Linked DNA regions of Notamacropus eugenii. The protein of the gene in region 2 interacts with the protein of the main gene of each other region in a pairwise test. Links are inferred from orthologs where the notes say so. Each region holds a gene or a part of one and is shown on either strand. Other genes may lie near its edges. The genes, in order: SEC23IP and SSC5D.

Evidence for each region.
Region 1: the proteins of SSC5D (region 2) and SEC23IP interact in binary tests that used the Homo sapiens proteins (3 or more experiments, as listed by UniProt). The two-hybrid records come from large-scale screens. The link is inferred for Notamacropus eugenii from reciprocal best matches to the Homo sapiens genes SSC5D and SEC23IP.

What each region holds. Positions count from the first base shown.
Region 1 is NC_092872.1:200,042,247-200,057,085, reverse strand, and holds the start of SEC23IP (SEC23-interacting protein), read right to left. Parts: upstream 6,123-14,839; 5' UTR 6,093-6,122; coding exon 5,849-6,092; intron 3,094-5,848; coding exon 2,558-3,093; intron 883-2,557; coding exon 660-882; intron 1-659. Other genes in the region: MCMBP (mini-chromosome maintenance complex-binding protein), read left to right, coding at 12,651-12,708. UniProt on the Homo sapiens protein: Plays a role in the organization of endoplasmic reticulum exit sites. Specifically binds to phosphatidylinositol 3-phosphate (PI(3)P), phosphatidylinositol 4-phosphate (PI(4)P) and phosphatidylinositol 5-phosphate (PI(5)P).
Region 2 is NC_092876.1:18,059,917-18,074,781, reverse strand, and holds the start of SSC5D (soluble scavenger receptor cysteine-rich domain-containing protein SSC5D), read right to left. Parts: upstream 10,521-14,865; 5' UTR 10,298-10,520; coding exon 10,273-10,297; intron 9,541-10,272; exon of another isoform or gene 9,461-9,540; coding exon 9,434-9,460; intron 8,680-9,433; coding exon 8,371-8,679; intron 8,172-8,370; coding exon 7,902-8,171; intron 7,189-7,901; coding exon 6,880-7,188; intron 6,129-6,879; coding exon 5,811-6,128; intron 3,878-5,810; coding exon 3,755-3,877; intron 3,027-3,754; coding exon 2,709-3,026; intron 2,249-2,708; coding exon 1,553-2,248; intron 1,452-1,552; coding exon 1,137-1,451; intron 737-1,136; coding exon 599-736; intron 1-598. Other genes in the region: NAT14 (probable N-acetyltransferase 14), read right to left, coding at 12,415-12,656.

The DNA.
Region 1 (14,839 bases), on a different chromosome or scaffold from region 2:
CAGACAACTCTCTTTAAAAAACAAAAAAGAAAGTACTGATATCTTTAGCCAGAGAAATGTTTGTTCCTCACTGGTAATTCCAACTAACTCAAACTAAACCAACTAACTCAAAAGTCCAACTTTTAAAAAATTCATATTGCCCAGTAATTATAAATACCAAATTTTTCAAAAGAATAAAGAGTCCCTCTACATATCAAATACTAAACTAGTAACTCACAAGAATGATCTAGAAAATTATGTCCAAAAAAAAAACTTTCTAGGTCAAAAGTGTTTGAAAGTTTTTGTTTTAAAACTAGAATAATATTCCAAAGAAATAAATTCTTGCTTTATAAAAATCAAATTCTGAAGCCAAATGTCTCTTTGCTACCCTAAAAAGAGGAAAACAACAAAAAATGAATAGATGGATTATATAAGGATTTTTATTTAAACAGTTTTTCTACATAAAATGAAAGATCATTCAACTCAAAACATATACCCCTTGATCAAAAAGTATTACTAACACTTTCCACCTTTAAAAAAAAAAGAGAACCAAGTAATTTGATATTCACAAAAAGTCAATGGAAAAGAAAGGAATAAGGTCCTTCAACTCCAACAGCATACCTAAAATTTTTCTCTCCCTCATCCCACCCTGCCAAAAAATAAAGAAAATTTGTACTTACCTGAATTATAGACTTCTTCAAGATGCACAGAATCAAACATACTGAATGGCAGCCATATTTGTTTGTATTCCACTTCCTTGCAATAAAACCAATGGGGCTGAACTGCCTCATACAGATTTTGGAGGAAAAGAGGAGGTGGTGCTTGTATCACAGGAGCTGCAGGTCTAGCCAGAAGCTGCTGTTGTACTGGTGATGACAAGACTGTCTGTCCTGCTGGAGGAATCTGAAAAGAAAAACCCCATGTCTCCTCCAAGTCTGAGATGCAGCAGCCTGAACTCAGAGGCAACAAGGAGCACCTTAGATACTAACACTTAATAACTGTATAATCACAGTCTCTCAGAGGCTCAGTTTCCTCATCTGTAAAATTGGGATAATATCTACATAGTACTTCCCCCAGACAATTCTTTTAAGGCTCAAATGTAAAGGGCTTTGCAAACTTTAAAGTTCTAAACAAATGTGAAGTATTATTATCTTGGAAATAATAATTATGCACTCTCTTCACACCTAACAATGCTCCTTAAGATCTTCCTAAGGGCCTTATAAACTAGCCCTACAATCAAAGAAGGAAATTTTTCTATCTAAAATATTTTCAAGTTAGAAGCACTAAGACAAAACTGTGACTGAAATCAATTTAGTTACTTTTTAAGGGCATGAAAAGCCTTTCCTCAGGATTTTTGTGTGCTGACATAGCATGAGTGAAATATGAACTTAGTGATGATGCCTGTTTTCCCACACTTTAGAATGAAAACAAAACAAGATTACAAACTAAACTTGATGCTGGTCATCACATCACTTATTTTTGTTTCGGTGGATCAGATACTTTATTCTTTTCATTTGTAGCTCCAGGTGAATTTCTGGAATCAGTTAACAATTCATAATTTTTTTTAATCAAAAATTTTTTTAAAAATCAAAGAGTTTCATAAAAGGTGCAGAAATTTTCTTCCAACAGTACACCATATGATAGAATATTTTTTTTATTTAGATCAAGTACCTATTTAAAAAAACTAAAAGCAGCTATAGAAGTATATATCAATTTTAATAACTAAGGTTTTAAAAATGAAAACTGTACTTGATTATATCCCAAAATATTTGCTCCTGAATATTTCTCATTTTATAAAGTTACTCATACTTTGCATTACATTAAAACTTCTTTTATTTGCAAGTTATTCAGTTTAATCAGTTACTTTAAGTAGTTTAAAGTAATAAAAAGAAAGAATAAATGTAATCATCTTATTTTAAAATTGCTTTTACTACAAAGAATATAGGTTTCACATTTTCTTTACAAGTAATTACCTTGCCAGGTGGATTTCAGAAAAATCTGGAAAGACTTAAATGATTTGAAGATGAGCAAAGTGAGCAGAAATAGGCAAACATAGTACACAGTAACAGTAACACTGTGCAATGATCAATAATGACTGACTTAGTTCTTCTCAGCAATACAATGATCCAAAACAATTCCAAAAGACTCATAACAAAAAATGCTCTCCACATCCAGAGAAAGAACTATGGAATCTGAATGTGGATCGAAGAATATTATTTTCACTTTGTTTCTTGTGGTTTTTCTTTTGTTCTGTTTCTTCTTTCATAACATGACTAATGTGGAAATACATTTCCGCAAATCACATGTATAACCTATATCAGATTGCTTGCCATCTTGGGGATGGGAGAGGAAAGGGAGGGAGTTAGAAAAATTTGGAATTCAAAATCTTATATAAAGGAATGTTGAAATCTATCTTTACATGTAATTGGAAAAAATAAAATACTATTTACCAAAATAAAAAATAATTAACTTTCATATTCCTGCTTTTAAAAAGCACAGAATGTTTGAAATGCAGGATAAGACTAAAAAGAGTGATGAGAATTAGAAGAAGTAAGTGAATTAAAGAGAATTTCTATACCGGTGGCATTGATCCAGGAGGACTTTGATACATCTGAAGAGGTGGTCCAGAGGATGATGGATGGGCAGGATGGTTTGGTGTTTGACATTGCTGCAACTGTGGTGGAGCAATATAAGGGTTAGCTCTGCTGCTGGTAGGGTTATGGCGATATGGATTATATCCTTGTTGTGGTGTTCCATGGGAACTTGCAAAATTAGTAGGTGGGAGACTACTATGTGGAGAAGACTGATAAGCACTGATTCCCATCTGTGAAGGTGGTGCAACACTATAAACAGACTGAGTCTTTGAAATGTGTGATGAGAATGTATGTGGACCATCTGGAGATCCAGTTGTAAGAGGAAGGGAAGTTGGAGGCTTAGACAAAGTTGGTACTCCAACAGGTGCTGCTGCGGTTGTTAATGGCATCTGTCCAATATTCCCAAAAGGATCACTGTTGCTGGATACCTGAGAGAAATAACTAAATGTCTGTGGTAAAGTAGTATGACCAGAAGTCTGACCAAGGAAGCTGTCTTCCTCACCAACATCTGTAGAGTCTTCTGAAATAAAGAATAGAGTAGAAACATAGTTGAGATTAAATTTACCACTTAGTTCTGAAAAAGCATGTGCCATTCTCTAAAACTTACACTGCAAAATATTTCTAATAATGTATCCACTCAGTCAATGAATTTTGAACTGCTGCAATAAATAATTGAAATTATGTTCTTCACTACTCAAACAGCTCTATGGTAATGACATGAAATTCAAATAAATGTATTAATTTTTCTTGACAAGAGTAGATGCAACATTATATTCTAAAACATAAAGCAATTATTCTACAAATGAAAATTCTGCTGACAATAAAATCAAGTGAATTATATTTCCCCAAATCATCTAGTACCACAAATTGATATTTTAAAAACACCAAGTCAACTAGTAAAGTCAATTACTAATAACTAAGGCAGACAAAAATTTAAAGCTTTGAACTATCATTCATCTCTTTGGCCAAGATAAACAGACTCATAGGAAACACCATCATCAATCCCCAAGAAATATGTCCAAAGCCTAAATCCTTCTATACATTCAATCTTAACATAAAGTGAATTGTAACATCAATGATTTTGTCATTTTATACTATTATTATATGGGCTCATCCTATTCCACTCCACACTGATCCATCCTACTCAAATTCCAGCACAAAATCCTCTGCCAGGACCCAGTAAATGTCTATGTGGCTCTAAGTATATTAAAAGATTTTCTACTCATTTCTCATTGCCTTCCATTTTTATTCATGTCACTCCATTCCTCAAAACATTCCAGTGATTCTCAATTGGTATGAGAGTTCTATACCATTTTTTAAAATTTTGTTTTTTATTATTTCAATTGAAAAATATCAACAAATATCAACATTCAAATATGGATATTCAAAGACAGAACAAGAAAGAGGATTGTATATGAAACTGTGAATCTCAATTACATTCAATACAATTCAGGTGTATTATATACAGCTTGCTTTTTTAAAAGTGTATGTTAAATGTACCATAATAATACTAAACTATCATGCCTGTCTTTGTCCCTTTCTGAACTCCCTCATCTGTGTGTAAATTTTTTCTATTAATTTGTCTTTCCAACTACACACTACCTGAATAAATAAAAATGTTTAAAAAGAGAATTAAGTCAATACACACAGAAATGCATAGTCCAGCCTTTCGTTTTATAATCTTTTGAGTTTTTAAAAAATATTTCCTGTTGTGTTTTTTCGCTTGGCCCTTGAATTCAGTTCTTGAATGAAGGTTTTCACTGCATGTTCTAAGATGTCAGTTTTCTATTCCACACTTGCCTCCCTAACCTTCTATTCTGTCACTATTACTTCTTTTCTTCCAGGTATTCCTGGAAATCCCAGTGACCAGCACAAATTTTTTTTCCTGAGGCTTTACCTGGACTTGTGAGGTAGATACTATATTCCTTAGGTTTTATCCCATAGGGATCCCTCAATCCAAGATATTTCTTCATGCTATTTTGAGTTTTCATTGATTTGTTCCACAATTGAATGGAATGGGCAAGGTCTGCCTGGTTCTGAGTATGGTGGCCCAAACTAGACCCTTCCTTCAAGAAACTCTGGACCTCTTCCAGTGCTGGACTCTCATTTTACTCTCTAATCCAATCAACTTCCTTCCTACACTCTATTTCACATGAGAAACAGTGTTCCTTCGGTTGAGTCTTTTCATTCACTAAGTTTGTCAATTACAATCAGCTACAGATAACTATTAGTAACACAAATAACTTGTGCATGAAAAGAACTTCACTACTTATTGAATGTGGGGGACTGGGGAAAGACAGAGACGTCCAATGTTACTTAGTTTCAAATCTTGGTCAATCAGTCAACTAGCATTTATTAAGTATCTACTATGTAACAGGCGCTGTTCACTTTCTTCCTAAAGGTGAAATTACTTCAAGTGCAAATACAAGTATTTAAAAGCTCAAGTTAGTTTTCCAGATATAAGCAGCTGATAACGTTTAGTGATAATGTTTAGTTACACACCACCATTCTTTAACAGGAAGGCAAGCAGAAATATGGTCAATGCACCTCCAAGAGTGATCCGGGGCTTTCGCATTCCATCAATGTCCAAGATCCGGTACCTCTGCCAGCATGGCAAGGTACTGCTGGCTTTCCAAAATGCTTCCCTCCCCAGCCTCCGCCTCTTCGACGCTGAAAACCTTAGTCCTGGGCTACCTACGTCACTGGACCGTTGGCAAATTTTCCACCTAAACGGCTCACAGTTGATGATTCTTCGGAGCTCTCTCCCCCACTTTTCAAAACAGGCTTCCTCCCCTTTCCCCGTAATTACACTCTAACGACCCCCTGAGAGTGGGTAACCCCTTCCTTCCCGCTGGGGAGCACAGAAGGGCGGGAGACAAGACCCCTGGAAACCCACACGGGAACCCTTCAGCATTCACTGGTGGTCCATCCCTCTTACCAACGCGCCGGAGAGGAAGGTTTTCCAGTCCCTTTAAGACTCGTACCTGACTGCAGTTCTCCATTTCTCTAGTGATCCCCACCTCGGGGTGGCCATTCCCCTCCCATGAAGTACCCACTCTTCCTCGGGAGCTCAAATCTCTGCCAGCTCCCCCATGAACACAGCGGGGGGCGGACAAGGAGGAAGAGTTCCGTCGCTCTTACACGGCCCCTCCCCTTCTCGGGTGCCAGCCCCGTGCCTCTCGGAGCGCCCCCTCCCGCTTCGCCGTCCACTTCCACTGCCCACTGCCCTGGGTGCCCATCACCCCACACCCGGCCCCCGCAGCCCTCGCTCCTACCTCCCGGGAGAAGCAGAGAGGCCGGGGAGGCGGGGGCCTGGCTGACAGGGATGAAAGGCACATTGAAGTGGAACTCGGAAGCCGAGGAGAAGAGCAAGTTGGTGCCGGCGGAGGAGCCGGCGCCGCCGTTAGCTTTCTTCTCGGCCATGGCTCCGGCTCGCCTCCCGCTTACACGTCTCAGGCCAGCCGGTGCGGCTCCACCGGCCGGAAACGGGTCAGACGAGGGGCCGGGCTGCTTCCGCATTTGCGCGCTGAGCTTTCCAAGATCAGCTGGCCAGCCCCGTCCCCGCCCCCTTCCGTGCCTTACGGCGGCTCTCTTACAGCACCCCTTCCTGAGCCGGAGTCAAGATGGCCGCCGCGGCCTCACTCGATCGCGAGCCTGGGAGACAGTTGGGGCTTCGAGAGTTCGGGGAAGATGGGTGACGGGCTTAGGGCGAGCTCCGCGTACCAGGAACATTACAGGCGATACAAAAAGTACGTGAAGCAAAAGGAAAGGAAAGCATTTCGAACGTTTCACACGGCAAAGGACAGTTCCGGAACTACTTTGGAGGCGTGCCCCCGAGTGCCCTGGGAGGAGACTAGTGATGTCACTCGTGACGTTGATTGAGCCCCGCCCTTTTGCATAACCCGGAAGGCAGATCTGCCAGAAGGTGGCGCTGTGGAGCTGTGAGCGGTTTATGTTCTTTTCTACGCAAAGGAACCAAACCAGCAGCATTTTTTATGGCAGCAAACAGCTGGAAATGAGGCCAGGGCTCGTCAGTTCGGGGATTTGGCCAGAAAAACTGCTGGACGTGAATGTCATGGAAGAGTATTTGCAGCCACTTAAGAACCAGAGATGGGGGGGCATCAGAGAAGCATCGGAAGATGCACACTGGAGGAAGCAGAACCAGCAAAGGGACGAATATGCAGCATTCCTGGGCAGTGTAGCCAGTACAGTGTACCCTGTGATTGTAAAAAAGAACTAAGGAAATGCCTTCCCTCCTTCCATAAGAGAAGGGCCTGGAATGCCCCCCTCCTTTTGCCCTTGGCTTCCCCCAGGTCTCAGCTCAGATCCCACACTTTGCAGGAGGTCTTTCGCAGTCTTCCCCTTGTACTGTTGAGGTTAGGGAATAATAACGTTGCGGTTTGGGACCCCAAAATGCCAACATCCCAGGTCCTGACCAAATGAATACGGCCAAAGAAAAACAACGTTTATACTGGGTTGACTCTTAAGGAGCCTAAGCATTTGTGACACTTGTATTGACCAGCAGGCCAGATTGAATCTCAGCCAGAGAGAATCAGAGCTAGACTGAATCTGAGCGCCTTCATGGAGATGAGAAGGATCTTATGTACAGAAAGACTGTGGGAGGGATCGGAGGGGGAGGGTCTAGTAGTTTGGGGTGATGGGAGTAGGGATTTAGCGAGGATCTTGATGGGACCCGGGTGACAAGAGGTGAGAACCCAGAGAGGATTTTGATGTGGTGGAGGGTGGAAACAGCTGGAGGTAATTCAGAGGTAACAGACAATAGAGGGCTAGGCTAAGACTTTTAGGTCACATAGAAGAGAAATATCTAGGAATAACTGATCAAATGGACTTCTTTGTCAGTCTGGTGAATCCTATGGACTCCTCAGATTAATGTTTTTAAATTCATAAAATAAAATACATATGATTACAAAAGAAGCTAATTATATTGATACAGCTTAAAATAAAAAAAAAATTTACAGACCGTGCTCCCATAGTCCCAAAACTGTCAGCAATTATTGAGCATTAGTTTTGTATCAAGAATTATTCTTTGTAAAGTCAGAAGGTGTGATTATTCTATACCAAATGTAAGAAATAAGTATTCAGGGCTTGCTGAATAGTATCTAAATTGTACAATTTAACTTTCAAAACCAATTAGTATTTTTAATACTGGCACTTTTATTTCTATTTCTAGCGTTCAAAAAATAGAAAAGTAAAGAAATAGTCACTAAGGCAAATGTAGATACAAAATATTTCCCACAAATAATCTGACCAGAAAGGTCAGAATACTCTAGGGAACATGAAAATGGTTTCAAGGCTTTTTCAAATAGAATCAGATTGTAATATGGCAAACTTGGAACCAGGAATGTTCTAAGGAGCTTAGAACATTTCTGGTCCAGAACCATTAACTCTGGGCTAAAGTAAAATTGTACTGGCCTACAAGTTTCCTATTAGAAAATAATTACTAATAGAGAAGAAAATGACAGTTAAAAGATCTAACTAAATTATTTTTTGTCAAGTCATCTAGGGAGCAGAATATTCTGTTTTTGTACCCCATCCTAATTTAGCCACTGCCTTTCCCCTTCTTTCTATAAATAATAACATTCTCTTTATTCCATTCAGAGTAGAAATTGGAAAAAGGCATAAGTAGTTGTTGATGGAGCAAGATAATTTCTTTTATCTCTTTCCCAGTATATCCCTCCCTTCTGGAAAAGTTAACTGGGCTACAAAATAAAAAGAATTAGAGCAATTCTATACTGATAAAAGAATTCAATGCATTCTAAGAAGAATGTAATGTACCTCTTGGAAAAAATGTAATGCTTCAGAAAGAAAATAAATTAATCATCCTGCCTAACTGCCAGGGCTATGAAAAGGCAAATTAGGGACAATCTCCATTTGTTTAATAAGACACTGGAGAAAACACAAGTATTAACACCATTGGTATAAAGTAATTTTTCAAGAGTCATGTGCTTTGGAATATATAAGATCTTAGGATCATAGATTTAGAACTGGAAGGGAACTTTGAGTCCATTAAGTTCAACCTCATCTTTTTATAGATGAGGAAAACAAAGCACAAAGTGGTTAAATGATTTGTTCCTGGTCATAGAGCTAGCAAGTGTCTGAGATGAAATGTGAAGTCAGGTCCCCTTGACTCCAGAGTCCAGGCCTCCATCCTCCACACCATGCAAATCGAAAAAAAAAAAAATGGAAAAAATCCCTGCCTTTCATATCCAACTTGTTGTCAAGGCCTGTTGATTTCATCTTTACAAGATTCCTCCAGATGGCTCTGAAGGAGAAAGTGAGGCTAGTGACCTTGCACAGCACTCCTTCGCTCAAATCAGTCAACTGCAAGTCATGTTATCATCTTGACATCATGGTCCTCTTCGAGAATGAAGGACAAACAACCTGTGAGGGAATGGCAGCTCCTCTCCCCTCCCCTCCCCTCCTCTATGTCCTGGCCTGAGGTGCTCTACCCAGGGGAAAATACATTTCCAGGGCCAAAAGCTGCCTTTTTTCCTTTGAGTTTACTGACTAGATTTCTTGCTCAAGGACCAAGCCTTAAACCCAATTCACTCTGGAGCTCAATGATTGGACAACAGATCCCCACCCACCTAGCACAGAGTGAACATAAAGATGAAATAATAACTGTTTCTCTTTTACCCAGGAACCCTGAGGGTCTTCCCCTCCCAGTTTGATTCTTTTTTTTTTTTTTTTTTATTAAAGGACGGTCTCTTGAGTAACCACTTAAAGAAGCCCATTCATTGAGTGGGTGTGTCTCAAAGTGAGAATCTGATAAGACCTTAACCTAAAATGGCCAGGGTCTCTGGTTGCATCCTAGGCCATCTCCAGTCATCCTGATGAATATCTGGTCGCTGGATTCAGATGGCTCTGGAGGAGAAGTGAGGCTGGTGACTTGCACAGCCCTCCCTCACTCAAAGCAAAGTCAACTGCAAGTCATGTCATTACCTTGATTCATGGTCCTGTTCAAGAAGGAAAGACAAACACAACCACTCTAGTGCGGACCCTCATCATCTCACAATTGGGCTTTTACAATAGTGGGTCTGCCTGCCATAGTTTCTCTCCACTCCATTCTCCATTCAGTTGCCAAAGTGATTTTTCTAAAATGCAGGTCTGGCCATGTCATTCTGCTACTCAGTAAACTCCAGTGGTTGTCTATCACCTCCAAAGACCATGCTGCCCCTTTCAATATCAGAAAAATTTTTAAAAACTACCAACAATGAAAAAAGGCACTGTTATGCAGGTTTTTCATCTGTTTCTCTGGCTAGTTTTGGTCCAAGTGGCATAAAAAGAGCCTGCACTTTGGTGAAAGAAGAGTCTGGGTGGGAATACAGTAAATCTAGTGAACAGAGAAAAATGCAAAGCTGTAACAAGGCCTGAGGAAGCTATAAAATGCAGTTAATCAGTGCTAATTTTTTGAATGATTTCAGTTCTTAGAATGCACAGTTTATTAAAAACATGCAAATAAAATTTTAAAATCTGATAAAAAAGGAGGGGAAAAAAGAAAGGAAGGTTCTGGCATATTGGGTATGTGGCAAAATTGTGGGACGACAAGTCACACAACATGAATAGGCATGAATGTGTTAAGATCTTTACTATTTAACTCTAAATGAGGAAAATATTGCCAGGCACTGTGTTAGGTGCTTGGGATACAAAGATAGAAATAAACTAATTCCATTGCTAAAGAAGTTTACATTATACTAGGGAAAACAACATGAATAGAAATAGCATTGGAATAAAAGGGAAAGAACATTGGCTTAGGGTCAGAGAACCTAAATCTGAAGCCTGCCTCTGATTCATGTATCCTTGTTACTTCAACACTTCTGTGCCTCAGTTTTCTCATCTGTAAAACAAAGGAGTTGGATTCTATCAGGGTGGGGAACCTACGGCTTTGAGATCACATGTGACCTTCTAGGTCTTTAGGTACTGACTTTTGACTGAGTCCAAGCGTTACAGAACAAATCCTCTTAAGGGGATTTTGTGAAGTTTGGATTCAGTTAAATGGCCGCACTTGAGAACTTTAGAGGGTCACATATGGCCTTGAGGTCACAGGTTCCCCACCCCTGGATTATATGGTCTCTGAGGTCCCTTTCAGCTCTAAATCTATGATCCTACAAAGAAAGCAGAAAATAAATACAAAGTAATTTCCAGGGAGTAAAAGAAGAGGCCACGAAGAGGTGGTGAGAGCTGAAGTCCTATTCTGAACAACAAAAATCCTGGTTCTTTTTGGCTCAGTCAGCAGAATGAAAAGTCTGGCCAGTACTCTCTAGACAGAAAGGAAGTGACAGTTGTTATAATCATCATAGTAATAGCTATCATTTACATAGTTTTAAAGGGTTTTAAAGTCCTTTTTACAAATCAGAGCCATTTGATGTTGGCTAAAGTCTAATCTAGCTAACTCCAGAAATATGCTTTCTTGGGTTAATTGTTAGGTGACAAATATTCAGCTGAATAGCTCTTAAAAGATTATCTGTGAATTTGTAGAAACATGAGGTATGGTGTACCTTAGCAAAATTAAGGGATCAGTCTCTTGGGATTTTTAAAGTCACTTCCCACCCCTACCATTTGGGTGATCAAAATCTCACAAGAAGTCTAAATGACATCTAATCAAAGGCATTCATTCATTCATTCATCTAACAAGCATTTGTTGAGCACCACTTAAGTATCAGATACTGTAGGTACTAAGACCATAATAGAGGATGGTCACCATCAAATAGCCCACCTTTAAAGGCATCCTTCTTTAACCTAGTCAAGGTGCCTAGGCTTTTTTCTGCTCAAATTTTCACTCACTAGGACTTTAATATATGTGTTTCTATACTTAACATAAATGTGTATTTAACATATTATGTGAATATACATGTATGTGTATATCTAATGTAGAATATACATAGTGCATAGTGTTGCACAGCATATAAGCAGAATGAGTATATATAAATTAGTGTATGTATCCGTATAGAGAAATATATGTATATATATACACATACATGTGTGTGTGTTTGCATATAAAGTGCAGGACTTCACAGCAATAAAAATGAGCCTTAATTAGATCTATTCTAACTCAGGTTTGCCATCTATGTAGCCACCCGTGAAATCTGTCTTCATTCCAGACCCCGACAAGGCTGTTGAGGAGCTTCAGTCCCTGCGTCCTTTAGGGTCACCAGCGGCCGAGGGCAGCTGGAGGCAAGCCCTGACTGCTGGACCTCCCTGTCACTAGTTCCAACGTATGGGAGGCAGGTTTCAGAGACACCAGGAGGCAGCTGGCACTGCCCAGGGCTCCTGAGAACGTGCCCGGCACTCGCGCCTCTGTGGAAGGAGCGCTGCCTCAGTCTCCCACTCTGTAGATGCGAGCTGCTTAATCTTCCCAGAGTCACAGACAAGCCTAGGGACCCCTACTCGCAACGGCCAGTCACGTCAGAGCCTGAAGGCTGGACTGAGCTGGAGGGGCTACAGGAAGGGGGCCTGCCTCTGGTGCCCCGGACGGTGGCCGCTCCAAGCCCCGCCGCGGGAGGAGGAGGCGCGGGGAATCGAGCTTCTGCCGCGGCTCTCCCCAGTCCAGCCCCGCCTCGCCAGTTTGCCCTCCTTTTCTGACCTTTTCCAAAATGGCGGCGACGGCGACGCCGCCGCCAGGGCCCGGAAGCCCCGCCCCGCCCCGCCCCGCCCCTCCTCCTAGCGCGACCGAATGCACTACCGCCCCCTCCCCAGCTCGCGCTCGGGGGTCAGAGGCGACGCCGTCGGCGCGTCCGTTTCCCGCCATAGCGTAGAGGAAGGCGGGGGGCGAGGGGGGCTCCTGGCGCTTCCGCCTCGTAGCTGCCGCCGCCGCCGCTGCCGTGGTTGCTGCTGCCGGGAGCGGGGCGAGCCCGAGGCCGGGCGGTGTCGCTCCGTGACCGCTGCCGCTTGCCCGGCGTGGGCGTGGGCGAGGGAGGGAGCGGCCGGGGGCTTGGGCCGACCCCGAAAGGAGAGGAGGAGGAGGAGGCGGTAGGACGTGCGATCGTTCCCTCTGCCCGCCGCCGTCGCCCCCGGAGCCCCGCTCGGGGCAGCCCGCTCCGCGCGCCCCTCGGCAAGATGCCGTGTGGGGACGACTGGCTGAACCATCCGCTCGGCATCGTGCAGGGCTTCTTTGGTGAGTGGGGGGCGCCCCCGGGAACCCTAGGTAATTCGGGGGAGTCCTTCCTGCCCGGAGATTGAGGAAGGGGCGACCCGAGCGCCCCCTCCCCCGCCACCCGGCGGGCGACCCCCCGGCCCCGGGGCCGCCGCACGGTTCGGGCTGCCCCCTGCGGGGGGCGGGGAGCGGGCAGGAACTTTGTCTCCCTTCCCTCCCGGGCCCCCGGGCCCCCAGACCCGGAACGTGGCCCGGGACTGGCGCAGGCCGCAGCGGGTGCCGTCGGGCTGGGCTGGTGGGAGACGGGGCGGCCGGCCCGCGGGTCCTGCACGGCTTTGCCGTTTCCTCTCCAGCTCGTTTTACAGAAGAGGAGCTGGGGCAAACGGAGCTAAGTGACTTGCCCAGGGTCCCCCGGCTAGGATCCCAGGCCACTCTTAAAGCCAGGAAGTGGAGTCTTCTTTACTCCAGCCAGGCATTCTGTCAGTGCTCTTGGGAATCGGGTAAAGTTGAAAAGGACAAAACCGGTGTGAACATTCTGCGGTGCCACAGACGGGGGCAGTGGTCGTGAAGAGAGCGGGGGCTTGTGCGAGGACTTAGGCTCAGGGTCCTGGGGAGACTGAGACAGGGTTTGTAAAGCAGCATGTAATGCCAGCTATTGCCTGGCTCACTGAGGACGTCCTTTATCGGGCTACTTCAAGAAGTAGGAAGTAAATTTTAGAAATAGTAACTGACATAAAACCCGCAAATTTGGAGATCTTGGGGGATGGAGGAATGTTGACCATTTATTTACTTTTAATTTGCGGACAACTAACTCATTTTCCCAGTCTACGACAGAATAGAAGCAGGAAACCATCACCATCTCCACGTCTCTGAGGGGCACTGACAACAGGGAGACTTAACAGCTGAAGTAAGGGGAGAAGCAAGAAATCTATTTTAAAACTGACAAATTCAAAGTAGAGTATTTGAGGCCCTTTCATGAAGGAACTTGTTGTCTTAAGCTTTTGGATCTCTAAGAGTCATTCCAATAAAGAAGTGTAATAGTTGATATTCTTAATGGTGATCCTGAGTAATTAAAGCAAAAGTTAACAGATTTATCTTTAGCATGCTGCATTTAATTAGAGAAGAAAGTGTGTGTTTCATTTTAGGATTTCCACCAAAAATGGGGTTTGTTTGTTTTTTAAGTTAGTCTTTAAATGCCTTATACAAATTATTTATTTGTATACACACACATTCTTCAAGAACCTATTCTTGTGTGTGTGTATAATATACTTATTCTCCAGGATTCTGGATAAATTAGATTGGTTACTGTGTACCAGAGATTTAGCTACACTTTGCTCAAATCATTTTGTCTTTGTCACACAGAGATATGCATTTCTCATAGCATAGTAAAGCATACAGTGTTGATATATGGTGCCATCAGCTTTATAACAGGGTTCAACAGTGTTTTTAAAATTCCATGGATTATTTATTGTGTAGCGGTTATGAATAATACAGTACTCATGCTTATTGGTCTTAGTATGTTAATAAATCAAAAGCTGGATTTTTTTGGTATATTTTGCAGTTAACACTATTGAAGGATGGCAATTTCACAGTTCCTTCTTGTGCTGTGATAAAACATTGCTTCAGTAATAGATGTTTGCTAACGTAGATAATGTGGCATGAGAATAATTAGGTATATTTCTAGTCAGTCTCTGGACAGGAGAGAATTATTTTTAGTAATGAGTGCCTAAATATAGAGTAACTATCTTTTTAGTCTTGAAATAATGATTTTTACTTGTAAGCACAAGCAGGAATACTGAACAGAAAGTTTGGATTCAGTCAAAGGGCCGCACTTGAGGTCCTAGAGGGCCACATGTGGCCTTGAGGTTGCAGATTCCTCACCCCTGGAGTAAATATGGTAATTTTTTTTCTTGGTCCTTAACCTGCAGTTTTATCACTGTAGTGAACTACATCTGCAACTTAAAAAGTTAGCTTCTGGGACTTTCCCATGGGTCACAGAGCTAGTATGTATCAAAGGATGTACCTGAACCCAAGTCTTTCCAATTCCAGGACCAGTCTACTATCTGTTATTCAATGCTTTATCTTCACATTCCTATATTTAACCCAAAAGAGCCCAGCCTCAAGAATCTGAAAGACCTAGATGCAAGAACTC
Region 2 (14,865 bases):
GGAGTGGCAGAGACAAACAACCATGAGAGAGTGGAGATGGGGGAGGGGAGGTGCCAGGGAGGCAAGCTCCAAGGAGGACTGGGGGTGGGGGAAGGAAGGGAGCTGGGTTAGAGACAAAACAAATGCTCTCTCTGAAGTGAGACAGACAGATACATAGAGGGGGCACCCCCAGGGAGCCGGAGGGACAGCAGACTGCCCCCCCATGGGGGAAGGCACTGGGCAGGGGAAGCAGCCATAGCCTGTGAAGAGCCTGCACTGCCTTGGTCTTCTCTGGGGTGTGCTGGGATGGGGGCCAAGAGGGGATGGGCCTCCCACCTCTTATGGGGGTTTCTCTGGGCTACCTCACTTGATGCCTGGGAGGTCTGGCCTCAGTGTCCCTGAGATCCCCTGGCTACGTTATTATAGGGTCTCTGGGCTTTCCCAGGTGTGTCGCTGCGGGGGGGTCTCTGGGCTCACTCTGGTCTGTTCTTGTGGGCACGCTCAGACCCCAGTGAGGATGGGCTCACACAGCATAGGATCTCTAGGGCGTGCTCTTAGGAGGTGGCTGGGGCCCAGTTAGCACCGTCAGTCCCATCTCTGGATTGGCCCTGCTCCTTACCTGGATCTCCAAGGTCCTGGGGTGTCTCAGAGGTGAGGTCATGGCTGGGAGCAGCTGTTGTGCGGGTTCCCCAGGTCACATCCCTGCGAGAGCTGGTGTCCCAGGCCCAGGGGACATCACTGTCATCCTCCATGTCTCCTGTGGGGATGGATGGGGAGATTCTGAAACTTCAGGCTCCCTGGGGGGCCAGAAGACCCATTTGTCAGGACTGCAAAGCCCTGTCCTTCCTCCTACAATGACTGACCTCAGGAGCCTTCAGGTTCCCAGAGCCCTTAGACCCAGGTTCCTGAAGAAGCCACAGTCCCCTGCTGGTCCCTCCCAATGGTGCCCAGGCTCTGCATCCACTAGTGCTCTCTCTCTCTTTCTGTCCAACTTCCTCGTTCTCTCCATTCCTTTCATGCCCTACCCCACCTCACTGCTCCCTACACTAGCCCTGGGTGTCTGGGCTCCCTGACACTCTAGTTCCCTCGGATCATGGGATCTGCCGGGATCACAGAGCCATTTTTTCCCAGCCCATTCTAGGTTTCTTGCCTTATACCTGTGCAAGTGAGCCCTACATCTTCCTGGTGCTCACAGTTGTGGATCCCCCAGGGCGAGGCTGGACAGTCCGCTAGCGAGGCCTCGGTGCCCACACAGGCCACATCATCCAGCCAGATGGGGCCTGTCCCAGATCCATAGTAGGTTTTGCCGACGCGGGGCCGTATCCCACCACAGCCCAACTCCCGGCAGGCGACAGCTGCATCTCGGGGGTCCCAGCCATCATCACACACTGTTCCCCACACGTCTCCACGCCACACCTCCAGCCGTCCGGCACACCGATCGGGCCCATCGGAGAGACGCAGCCGAAGGAGACCTGACCATGGCCACATGGCAAGGCTCAGTCCCACCTGTGGACCTCTCTCCCCAGCCCTCTTTCCTTCCCTCTACCAGCCCCTCTACCTGCTCTAGCCTTACCTGTCTCTCCAGAGCCTGGCCAGGTCTGGGGAGAGGACAAGTCTTTTGGGGTGCTTGTGGGTAAAGTCTTGAAGGCCCCCCAGCTGGTCTTAGCCCCTGGTGTGGAAGAACCTGGGTCTAAGGAGATTTCAGAGGAAATCTCATCTTGATCCTTTGGGGTTGCTTCCTTGGGGCCTTGAGTGCTTAGCTGTGGGATGACCTGGGAAGGTTGTCTTTGTAAGGACCAAGTGGTCAGCGAGGGGCTGGCCGAAGATGTCACTGGTATGCTCAGTAGTGTGGTCTGAGAGGGCAACAGTAGTGAGTCCTGGGAGGTCTGACCTCTGGGAATCTGAGTGGTTGGTTTGGGAGAGGCCTGGGGGGTCCGGCCTCGGGGTGTCTGTGTGGTCAGTTTGAGGAAGGCCTGGCCTTGTGGAACCCGAGTTGTCTGCCTTCTTGGGACCTTAGTGGTAGACTGTCCAGGTGGTCGCACTGTTGGTTTCCGTGGTTTCTTCGTAGCCCACTTTTTGGAGCTATATGGAGTCCTCCCTGGTGGTTTGGCCACTGTTGTTCCAGGGCTGCTAGTGGTCAGCTGGGTGGCTATGTTCCCTGGATTCTCAGTGGTCCACTTCCTGATGGGCCAGCCCCGTCCATTCCCACGTGGCTCTGGGGCCCAGCTCCAGCTGAAGAGGTTTGGGACTGAGTCAGGCCCGAGACTCCCTGGGGAGAGAAGGCAGGGGCCAGGTCACACTCCTGATTGTCCATAAAGGTCCCCTCCAGGAAAGCTCCTTGGGTCTGTTCCTCCAGGTGTTTCTCTTAGGTTTGGCCAGAGGACTGTGTGCCTCTCCCTCCTTCCCAGAGCCCTTTTGGGAGAACTTCCCAACTCTTCCAAGGAGTCTTCCTCAATTTCAGAAGGGAGACTTCTTTCAGTAAGCCCTCCAGATCTGGGGAAAGAGATCCCTCTTTCCTAGAAGCCCTCCCCAAGTCAAGAAGGGAGGCCCCCCAGTCTAAAGAAGCCCTCCTAGCCAAGGTAGGGGAGACCCCCAAGAGTGTAGAGGAAGGAACTCTTCCTCTTCTCCTCCCTCCACCCTTCCCCAAGAAACTCCCCAAGATGATGCTTAGGAGGGGTAGGTAGGGCTGGCCCTGGGGGTAGGGCTGCCGGCAGATAGGAACACCTTACCTATACAAGTGATCCCCACATCCTCATTATGGGCACAGTTGTGTTTCCCCCAGGGGGCTGCAGGACAGTTGGCCAGCCGGACCTCAGTCCCACTACAAGCCACGTCATCCAGCCAGATGGGGCCTTCCCCCCAGCCGAAGCGGCCAGCGGCCGGACCCGGCTCCTGGGGGACACCACAGCCTAGTTCTCGGCAGGCCACGGCAGCATCTCGCACATCCCAGCCATCATCACACACAGTCCCCCAGCGACCACCATGCCACACCTCTAGCCTCCCAGCACAGCGGCCTGGCCCAGATACCAGGCGAAGGTGAGGGGTACCTGTGGGAGAGGGCAGAGGTCATGAGCAGCCTGGGTGGCAAGGCCCAGTGATAGAACTCCCCTCCAACCCATTCCCTACCCACAGTGATAGGATTGAGACTTATAAGGGACCTTTGAAATCATCTAATTGAATCTCCCATTGGACAGATGGGGAAACTGAAGCCCAGAGAGAAGAATGGCCTGTTCCATGACTGAGTCTGTGACCTTTGACTTTGGCTTTAGCCTCTTTGCTGGATTAAAGAATCCCTTTTTTACTGTCCTGTTCTGAGCATCATGACTCATACAGCCTGCCCAAGAGAAGTGTGCTGTTACCTGAGCTGGCACGTGACCTGAAAGCCCAGGCCTGGGTTTGGTCGCCACTTACTGGATGCATGGTCTTGAGTTAATGATTGTCCCTCTCTGAGCCCCCTCCCCTCAGACAAGGAGGATGATCTCTTGGATCCTGCCTTTCTCTGGCCCTTGGCTTCCTCACGTGTGAAATGAGAGGTTTGAAGGATTGCTTTCTGGGTGACCTAGGGTGAAACCCTCACCCTTTCTGGGCAGACTGACCTAAATGCAGCACCAACTCTCCAGTCTGAGAGCAGGCTCTGGGTCAGGGGGGCAAAAGACTCAATTGTCAAGGTCTTCAGTCTCCTGGTGACCCCTCAGGAGGACCCAATGGCCAGATAACTGCATTCCCCACCCCAGGAAAGCAGAAGCCCCAGGGGTCAGACTAGCTTCTCACTCACCCTCTTTAGGGCCTGGTTCCCGCAGGGTCGTGGCAGAGGCAGGAGAAGGCCCACTAGTGGGGGCCTGAGTCTCTGGGGCCCCGACACTGCTGCTGCCTGGGGTGGGCAAGCCCAGAGGCAGACCTGGATAGGGGTGAGACATGATAAGGAAGTCACTACTGAAGCCACTTAGCCAGCTTTTCCTCTTCCCTACTCCCCCATATCTGTGGAGTGAATGTGGGGAAGAGATATGTGGGGGAAAAAGAAGAGTCTATAGGGAGAGAGTTGGGGCAGGGAGGAGAGTGAGGAGGAATAGGAGGGGGAGAGAGAAGGGTCGGTGGGGGAAGGGATGGGGGAGGGAAGGGTCACTGGGGGAAGAGATCCATTCCATTTCTTTTATTGACCTAGGTACCAGTAGACCAGGAGAATAATGTGGCTAGGTAGCTAAGCATTCCATCAAATACCTCGTACTGTTCTTGTAGGCTTAATGCCCTGGACTGTCTGAGTCACTTTTATTTTCTTACATTTTCCATGAATCCAGTAAAGAACTCTCTTTTATAGTCAACCCAATCTTATCATGAAATTGTACAGTTAGCTGAATTCAGAACTAGTTGAATGGCCATTGATGTTTTCTAACTATTAATATTTTGATGTTAGCTCGGCAGGAGGTGCCCAATGCAATGCTCCAGGGATCTGTGCTGGGCTGGATTCTGTTAAATACTTTTATCACCTAATGGAATAAGGGCGAAGATTCCAAATCATCTAACTCAGAGGAGACAGTGAGCTGCGAGTGTGCTCTCTATCTCTCTCTGCATCTGTCTCTCTGTCTCTGTCTCTTCCCCTCTCTCCCTAAAACGTCGGGGTCTAGCAGCTTGCTGACTGCGTCAAACACTGAGTAGAAGGTGAAGTTTAAGAGGAGTAATTACAGTTTTGCACTTGAGTTCGAAAGATCAGTTTCACAAGTAAAAAGTGGAAAGGCACAGCCATGCTACTATTCATCTGGAAAAGATCAAGGGGCCATAGAGGGCCACAACTTCATGGCAGGAACTGCATATGGCTCGATTAAACTTTAATTTAATATGAGTCAGTATGATGTAAATGGAAAAGAAAGCTGTGTGGAAGGTGACATAAAGGAGGACTGTTCCCCTGTTGCCCTCCTCCCTTCCCACCTGGACTTCAGCAATGGCCCGATGGGAAGACTGGCTGCTTCTAGTTTCTCCCCCTAAATGCATCCTCCATTCAGCCACTAACATGATCTTCCTAAAAGTGCGGGGTTGACTGGGTCACTCCCCTACTCAATAAACTCCAGTGGCTCCCTATGGCATCCACGGTCAATTACAAAATCTCTCCCCACCCTTCCAGTTTCCCTACACTTACCCCAGCTCATGCACTCTTCCTAGGGACCCCAGCCTCCTATGTCTCCCTCTCTTGGCTCTGGGCATCCTCTCTGGCTTTCTCCCATGCCTGGAGCATTCTCTCTCATCTCAGCCTTCTGCTTTCCCTGCCTTTCTTTAAGGCCCTTCTAAAATTCCAGTTTCTACAGGATGAATCTTCCCCCACTCTGAATTCCTTTGTTGTTTCCTATTTATCTTTTTTCTCACTTGTCTGTCCACCACTGTTGGTGCATTGCAGACTGTAAGATTCCGGAGGCAGGAATGGTCTGCTGTGCTTTCTATCTAGCGTCGTGGCTGACACTTAGTAGGTACTTAAAAAAAGTTGACACTCTGACGACTTCGAATATTCGAAGCACCGTCATGGAAGGCAGGCTAGCCCAGTGCTTTGTGGGCAGGGCTGCAGAGGCAGAAGAGGCTCAAGGTGGAAAGTGGCCCAGCGTTGGGAGCTGTCCAGCAGTGGAGACTGCTGCCTGGGGAGGTGAGGCTCTCCCCCAACAGTCAGTCGTGGTGGAGGAGTGGGCACTCTGTTTGCCCCTGAAGAGTCTCCCATGTCTGGGGGCCCTTTCCAAGAGGGGGAGCTGGGGGCCAATAGAGCGAGGTCCACAGGCACCTAGAGTAGGGTGCATGGGGTGCCCAGGGAGATGACCTTGGCCATGGTAGTGGGGGTAGAGAGGGGCTCTTACCATCACATACAGCCCCTGCGTCCTCTCGGTGGTGACAGTCATGTTGGCCCCAGGGGCGGGCTGGGCAGAACCCCAGGGATGTCTCATTCCCCTTGCACCGAAGGTCATCCAGCAGGATGGGTCCAGTCCCCTCCCCAAAGAAGGCCCCTCCTGGGGCAGCAAGGGCACCACCACAGCCCAGTTCTCTACAGGCCACGGCAGCATCCCGAAGGTCCCAGCCATCATCGCACACTGTCCCCCAGCGGCCCCCGTGCCACACCTCCAGCCGCCCAGCACAACCATTGGGACCCCCCGCCAGGCGCAAGTGGGGGGCTGGACCTGGTGTGGGGAAAAGAAATAACAAGGGTCAGTCTGCACTATTCTCCTCTATGTCTCCAACACTGGGACTGGCCTGAGTCCCCCAGCTTAGCTCCTCTATCTGCTCTCCATGCCCCTAACTCTCCAAACTTGTTCCCTCTCTGTGCTCCCATGTGCCCCTGTGGCCCTAGCTGCCTACTCTCCCCCTGCCCATCCTAGTCAGTTGGTGTGGAGGGAGGGGAGAGACTAGGAAGAAATTGAAAAGGTTCCAGGGGGCTTTGAAGGTCAAGACCTGGGGACCCCTGATGTCCGTGCTCATCAATCTGTTTTCCAGTTTTTCCCTTATCTTCCTGCTCATCAGGAAGGATGAGGATGTTGCGTGGGGTTAGAGGCAGGACAGGGGTGGGCAGCACCCAGGTGAGGGGCTGAGGCTGTGCTGGGGTGAGGGGTCTGATAAGTCCTCTGAAGAGATTCTAGAAATGGTAGAGGTTGGGGTCGTCCATGAACCCCTTCCCTTACAGACTAGAATGTCAGGGTGTGGAAAAGACCTTATTCCTGTTATATGATATGCTAAAACATATAGCAATGGCAATAAAAAAAACAGAGCCCCTCAACACTGTCTGGTCCAGCCAGTTCATTTTACAGATGGGGAAACCGAGGCCCAGATCATGGAAGGGACCCACTCCCAGGCAGGCAGTGGCAGGGCCAAGGAGAAAGGAGCAAACACAGGATTTTCAGCCCCGAGGGCTGCTTTGGGAGCCCTGGGACTCACCTTCGCAGACTAGTCCGGCATCCTCTGTGTGGTCACAGTTGCTTCGTCCCCAAGGGCTCCGGGGACAGTCCTGGAGGGCCTGCTCCCCTCCTCCACAGCCCACATCATCCATCCAAACAGGACCTGACCCTTCCCCAAAGCGGGCCCCTCCAGGGGCAGCCAGGGCTCCCCCACAGCCCAGCTCCCTGCAGGCCACAGCAGCATCCCGCAGGTCCCAGCCGTCGTCACACACTGTCCCCCAGCGGCCCCCGTGCCACACCTCCAGCCGCCCAGCACAGCTGTGGGGCCCCCCTGCCAGGCGCAGATACTCTGCAGAGGAGGGACTCAGTGAGCCAGGCCTTCATCTAAGCCCTCCAGGTGCCTGGGTCCCTGAGGGATTGGGGGCCAAGAGGCAGAGGCTTGGATCCCTGAGGAGAATGGAAGCTGGGGGCTGGTAAGCCTGGGTGGGCCATATGTTCTGGGGAGCTCCACTCCTGGGTGTCAAGGGCCAGAGGGCTTCACCTGACTATGCAGAGGACACCTGAGTCCCTGAGGACAGTAGGGAATGAGGAGGCAGATCTCCAGATCCCTAAGACAGGCAGAGGGTGGGCAAGGAACAGGTGCCTGGATACCTGAGTCTCTGAGTGGGGTGGGGGTGACCATGAAAATAGCAGGTCATGTAGGTAGCCTTTTGGGGGCTGTACAGTGGGTACAGAATCAGCTGACATCAAATGAGGCAGGAACCAGAGAGATGGACATGTGGGTCCTGGGGGCGGGGGAGGGGCTAGGGAGTTGGACATGTGGGTCCTGGGGGGAGGGGCAAGGGGATTTGGACGCGTAGGCCCCAGGGAGTTGGGGCAGGCAGAATGAAGGGAGATAAGAAGTAAAGGTATCCCCCCACTGACCTCATGAACATTCCTAATAGTACCCAGATGTAGTTTTGGCTGCGGACTTGGGGGGGAACTAAACTGGAAATGAAAAGGTGGAGGGGGGTGAGGGGAGTTGGCTCTATCTTAGAGGGACATGTGGGGGTGGTCACTCACCCTGTCGGAAAGCACTGGAAGTCAGCAGAGGGGCCCGGGTGGCCTTGGGCAGCTTGGGAGGCCGAGGGGCCTTCTGGGGGCTGCTTGTCGGGTTCCCAGCTAGGGGAAGGGTGAATGAGGGAAGGGGAGGGGAGATGTAAGCGTCAGGCTCTGCAGATTCTGCAGGGGGAGATCTTGGGGCCTCACCTGGGGATGTTGGGGAGCTCTCAGACCACAGCTCCCGGTCCAGGGGCTCTGTTGAATCCGACCTTGAGTTGGTTGCCCGCTGACCTGTAGGGAGTGGGCAGATTTGGAAGAGCTTAGTGGTGTTTAGTGGGGAGGGCCCTGGGAGTTCCAGTGCCAGGCTTCCTAAAACATAGTGTTAGGTACTTTGGGGTCCCATGCCAGAGTTCTTGGATACTTCCATCTTGGAGAGGGTGAGGATTAGGAAAGAGCAGGACCCTGGAGGGCCGGGGACTGGAGCTCTTACCTACACAGACGAGGCCAGCGTCCTCCTCGTGGGAGCAGATGTGGGCCTTCCAGCCTCGGTGACGACAGAGGCCCAGCCGGCTCTCAGACCCACGACAAGCCAGCTCACTCAGCCAGACTGGCCCGATCCCCTCTCCAAAGAAAGCTCCTGCTGGGGCGGCCAGGGCTCCTCCACAGCCCAGCTCCCTGCAGGCCACAGCAGCATCCCGCAGGTCCCAGCCGTCGTCACACACCGTTCCCCAGCGCCCCCCGTGGCGCACCTCCAGCCGCCCGGCACAGCCATGGGGGCCCCCAGCCAGGCGAAGCCGCTCTGCCGAGGGGGGTCCAGTGAGGAGGGACCCTCATCTAGCCCAGCAGTATCCCTAGGCTTTTGAGGGGGCCTGGGGGCACTAAATACTTGAGCTGCTGAAGAGGCAGATAGGAGTCCTGGAAATCTTTATCCCTAAGGAACCAGGGGCTGGCATGCCAGTCCCCATGGATGCCTGAGGAGAGTTGAGGTTTAGAGAGCAGACACCTGAGATCCTGAGAAAAGCTAGGTCAGTGAGGGGAGCAGGGCCTGGGAGACCCAAAGGCTGAGTCACTGAGGGTTTGAGTTCAAGGTTAGAGAACTGAGCCGGGCTAGGAAGCTGGATGCCTGAGTCCCTGTCCAAAGAATGGGTTGGAGGTCCTGGGGTGCTGAGAGGGTCTGAGTCCCTGGGATGAGTAGGGCTGGAGAAGCACACGTTTGCTGGGTGGCTGGACACTTGGGTCCCTGTTGGGGAGGGGGCCCAGGGATCCCACACTCCTAGGTTTATGATGGGCAGGGTAGAGACTCGGGGCTTCTGAGGGAGTGGCTGTGTACTGGGGAGGGGGAAGGCTGGGTTCCCATGAACAAAGAATGAAGAGCCTAATGTTTGGAGCCCTGTGGTCTAGCCCACAGTATCCTTGATGCCTGTATCCCCAAGACAACCAGTGAGGGAAGGGGAGAATCCAGTGAGCTCCAAAGCTAAAGCCCAGAGGTGGAGTTGGGTGGTGACAAAGGGCATGACAGGGAAGGAGGAGAAGGGGACTCAGAAAAGACTCACCCACAGCCTGAATCCCCATCAGAACAGCTGGAAGAGAGATGAGGGCGATAAGGTGAAGGTGGGGAGTCCTTGCCCCTGTCACCGCCTCAGAGGAGACACTCAGGGATCTGGGTTAGGTATGAAGCTGTGTAGGGCCTTGACAGGGTCGAGCATTCACAAAGCAGTGGGGAGAGGGTCTGGATTCCAGGTTTCTGAATGGGGATGCCTGGATCTCTGAACCCAGTGGGAAGGACCTGAGGAAATGGAGCCCCAGTCCCTGGGAGAACAGTTCAGAAAGAGGAAGGGACCTTCAACCTGGCTTCCAGGAGAGCCTAGATGTTTGGACCCTTGATGGGGATGAGACCTGGACACCACAGGGAACAAAGGTCAGTGACGGTGGAGGCTGCAGCTGACTGGGCTCTTGAGAAGGGAATAGGGAACAGGGAACCCTATTTCTGGATCTTAGAAGACAATGGGGGACAAGATGCCATCTGGACCTCTCTTGGAGGAGGGTGGCAGACTGCTGGATCCTTTTGAAAGTAATGAAAACTAAATGTTTAGGATTGTGGAGAGTAGCCAGAAGAGCAAAGTGTATGCTGGGGGCTGGGACTCCTGGGTCCCTGAAGGGGAGAAGCAAGGACTCCCAGATGTCCAGGAGGCAGGGGCTGGGGACCAGGACTCTTGGGTCTCTGAAGGGGAGAAGCGAGGACTTCCAGATGTCTAGGAGGCAGGGGCTGGGGGTCAGGACCTCTGGGTCCCTGAATGGGAGAAGTAAGGACTCCCAGATGCCCAGAAGGAGCTAGGGTCAGTAGGAGGCAGGGGTTGGGAGCAGGGACCTCTGGGTCTCTGCGGTCACTCACCAAGGAGGTAGGCCAAGACCCTCATCTCTGCAGAGCCAGCCCCTAGGACCCAGGCTGGGGGGGCTGGGGGACGGGGGGGAGCAGACGAGGTCGAGGAGGCGGAGGCAGTAAAAGCTGAGGGGAAGTGCCGGCAGCGCCCTGGACTGAGGAGGGGCGGGCAGGCGGGCGGGGGCTGGGGACACGCCGGCACCAGGAAGGGAAGAGAACAGTGGAGGAGGCAGCGGGGGACCAGGAGGGGGCTGAGGAGGCGTGGGGGAATGGGGGGGGGGGGATTGGCTGGCCCCAGACACTTCGGGCGCTGGGCCGGGAGACCTGCCAAAAGGGGCTGGAGCAGCCTCTGGCCCTGGAGCTCTGCCTCAGTGGACCTCCCTCTTCCCTCGGGTCCTTCCCTCTGGGTGTCTCCCACTCCTGCCTATCTCTCCAGGTCTCTGCTCCTGTCCCACCCTCACTGTTTACCACAGCAGCCCCTCTGCTCTGCCCTACCCCACCATCCATGCCACTAGGGGAGAGGGTCAGTTGATGTCCAGATAATGGTCCAAACCACAGGGTTCAGCCTCCAACCAACAGTCACTTGTTGAGACAAGAAAGAACTGCAGGGCTGGAGGGTAAATGGCCAGACCCAAGCTGCAGGTCCCTGTCCGAAGGCGGGGGAAGGCCAGGCTGCCCTGAGATAGCCCCAGGATCGAAGGGGCGGGGAGAGAGAGTGGCTTGGTGGGGCCCAGGCTGGAGGGGGAGGAAGGGGAGTGGGGCGGGGGCAGATACTTGGCCCCCAAGCTCAGCAGGCAGATGTGGGGTGGAAAAAATGTGCTAATGGGGAGCGTGAGTCATCAAGGTTGGCAGGGGATGGGCCCTGCAGCCTGAGCTCATCTCAGCCTGCCTGGGGCCTGGGTCTGGGGTCTGGGGCCTGGAGCACCAGTGGCTCAGAACTCCCTCCCTCCCCGAATATTAATGTGGCTCCAGGGCCAGACAGGCCTGGAAAAGGGGGCTGGAGGACCTGGAAAAGGCATCACAGCAGAAGGGAGGCAGGCAGTGGGTGGGAGTTTCAGTTTATTAACAATGGGGATAAAAACAGATGTGAGGGGAAAGGAGGAATGGGAGGGGAGAGAGAGACCCAAGGCAGAGACGAAGGGTCATCTCAAGGTGTGGGGGAGCCAGGGGGTCACTCTGTGGGTCCTCAAAGCAGAGGGGAGTCATCCTGGTAGCCAACTGATGGAGAAGGGAGTCCAACCCCACGGGACGGTCCCCAGAAAAGGGGAAGATCACTGATGGCGCTTGGTAAAGGATCCTGGGCAGGGTGCTCTGGGAAGAGGGAAGTCTTGCTCAGAGGGGTCCAGTGAGGCTAAAGGTTAACTGAGGGGGGCGAGAGCAGGAGATCCTGTGTTTGCAGGGGCCTTCAGTGAGTCTGAGGGAGGGATGTCTGAGAAGGAACTTCTGGGAGGAAATGGGATGAGAACCTTGGGAGATCTTGGCAGGGCACAGAACCACAGAATAGTTGGGGTCGGAGGACAGAGCTACCCAAAGGCAGTTGGAGGCTGACTGCCTGAGGACCCCCACAGTGGACAGGGGAGATATGGGGGGTCATCAGAGAGTCACTGGTATAAAAAGGAGCAGCCAGAGGATGGGCCAAGGGTGATCCCCCACATTTAATCCTGTGAGGTGGGCAGTGCAAGTATCCTTTCCCCCAGTCCTTAGGGGGTGATGGAGACCCAGAGGGAAGGACTAGGCCAGGGTCATGGACTAGGCCAGAACCAGAGCTGAGACTTGAAAGCATACAGGTGTCCCGGATGGCTCCATCCTCCCTGAGCCAAGGCCAGGTTGCGGAGAGGACACAGTGGGCATTAGAATTCTTTCGTAAACTCCCTCACAAATATGTGTCCCATCCAGCCCCAGCCCCCCTCAGGATGGTAGCCCCTTCCTTCCAGGAGGGCAGCGGCTCCTCGGGCTCCTACTGGAGCAGGAACTATGAGCTTTGCTCTAGGGCCCCCTGCCTGGCGGGCCCATGCCTGGGCTCGGGCCTCAGCGAAGGCCAGCAGCTTCGTGGCCACACCACGTCGACGGTGCCAGCGGGCCACGGCCAGGCGAGCTACGGACAGGCTGCTTCCACTGGTCCCGGGCCTCAGGGCCAGGACCCCGCACACGTCATCAGTTCCCCACACTGCCACCCAGGGGCCTCCTAGGCCAGAGTCTGAGGGGAGTGAACCCCATCGCATCCGCACCATCAGCTTGAGAGCAGCCACAGCCAGGGCGACGGGCAGAAGCAGGGCCAGGGCGAAGGAAGCCAGGACAAAGCGGAGGCCACTGCTGGCAGCGGCCAGGAGCAGAAGGGCAGGGGGCCGAGTCAGGGCATGGAGGGCCACGCGGTTCTCTGTGTCTTTCACCCCATCCTGAGGATAAAGGGGCACAAGTCAGGGGTACAGAGAGAGATGGCACTCACTGGTGGGGATCCTGGTGGGGAGGGGCTGATGGGAGAAGGCTAATGAAGACTGGGAAGGGGCACAGGCCAGGGCTGGTGAGGATGCCCTCTGAAGGATCCGCTGGGGACAGGGCTGGTGGGAATATTCAGGGCGCAGATCAGCCAGTCATCAGGTTTTAATGAAGCACTTACTATGTGCTAGACTTCAGGCTAAGCCCTGGGGAGATTTCTGGAAGGGAGGGCTTTGGGAGGGACCCATAGTAGGAAGCCAAGGTGGGAGGGAGAGAAAAATCTGCCTTTGGTTCATTGAAAATAAGTTATGTAAAAATAGTGATGGGGAGTTCCTGGTGAACTTGGGGGGTGGGGCTGGGTAAGAGCCAAATTTGGGGGGTGGGGCGGAGATCATGGTAGGTATCTCAAGGGAGGCAGAAAGGTGGGGAAAGGCCAATGGGAAGCTAGAGGTGGATGAGGTTGTGGAGGGAGCCTGAGAAGGGGTGGGGTGGGCCCCCGAGGAGAGACCTGAGGAAGGAGCAGTGAGCAGCCTGGTGGAAACACTGGGGGCCCTGGGGGGAGGGGATAGCTGGAATGCTAAGGAGAAGAGCTTTTGGGGGGAAAAGAGGCCTAGGTCCAGGCCAGTGGGACTGAGAAGGAGAGGTTCCTTTTTCCTCCTTAGGTCTGCAGGAAACGGCTTTCTTCATTCTCCTCCCGGCTCAGTCTCCTCTGCCAAATTAACTGTCCCATCCCAGGATCTCTCTATGGCCTTCCATACCTCATGGCTCCCTCCGGGCCCCCCCTTTCCCTAGCTCTCTCGGCCTCCTCGTCAGCTCCCAAGGGTGCAACAATCATCCCTACACCAGAGACCCCGAGTCCTCAGGCTAACCTCAGTGTCTTTCCTGATTGTCAGGCCTGGATGGTTGACTCTGTCCATCCCATGGGCATCGAGTCTGACATGTCTAAAGCATAACTCATCTTTCCTGCTCTATGACCTCACTCGGGGATCTCTTCTGCTCCCATGGATTCAATGGCCAGCTAGAGATGCCTGGGATTTCCAGATCTATGTATCCAGCCTGAAGCTCTCTGCTCCCATCTCCAACCCCCTCACAGAAACCTCGACTGTAAAGGTCAGACATCTTTACTCCACAAGCCCCCACAGAGCTCATCATCTTCTCTCCCCAGCCTTTCCCCTACTACCTTCCCTATTACTGTGGAGAACATCATTATCCTCTCGGGCCCTCAGGCTTAAAAGCTAGGTGACATCTAGGATTCCGTACTACTTATCACCCCCATATCCAAGTCCTGGCCAAGGTCTGTCCATTTCACCTCCTCTGCATCTCCCCAATCCACTCCCTTCTCTCCTCTGACCCTGCCCCACCCTGGTGCAGGCCCTCACCCCCTCATGCCTGGACTGTGGCAACAGCTGCTGGGAGGTCTGCCTGCCTCTGTCTCTCCCTAAACTCCACAGTCCATCCTCTCTTCCATCACTAAAGGGATTTTCCTGAAGTGCAGGTCTCATCATGTTACCTCTCCTCCTTAATAAACTCCAGTGGCTCCCTATTGCTTTCAGCATCAAGTGGAAAATGCTATTTAATTTTTAGAGCCCCACCTCCACCTTTCCAGGCTTCTTACACCTTGTTCTTCTCTATGTAGAGGCAGCAAAGGTGGCTGGGTAAGGCACTGGGCTTGGAGTCAGAAAGACCTGCGTTCAAATCCAGCTTCAGATAATCATTAGCTGGGAGGCCCTATTTGCCTCAGTTTCCTCACCTGTAAAATAAGACTAATATCTTTGATTCCTAATAAGGATCAAATGAGATAATATTTGTCAAGTACTCAACTCCACACCATACAGAGGCCCATCCCTGTCCCTTCTGTGTGATTGTGTTTCAGACAGGCCAGCTCCCCTCTCTGGTCATTGTTACTGGCTGTCTCCCAGGCCTAGAGCTCTCTCCCCGCTTCCTGGCTGCTTCCTGGCTTCCTTCACATCTCAGCTGAAGCCTGACTTTCCCCATCATCCTCCACCTTGGGCCTTCCCTCTGGGATTACCTCCAGTCTCCTGTTGGTACCTCCTTGTTTGCATCAAATGGTGAGCTCTTAGGACAGGGAATGGGGTTTTTCTTTCCTTGTATACCTTGTATACAAGCCTGGCAACATGTAGCAGCTTAATAAAAGCATGCTTACTTGAT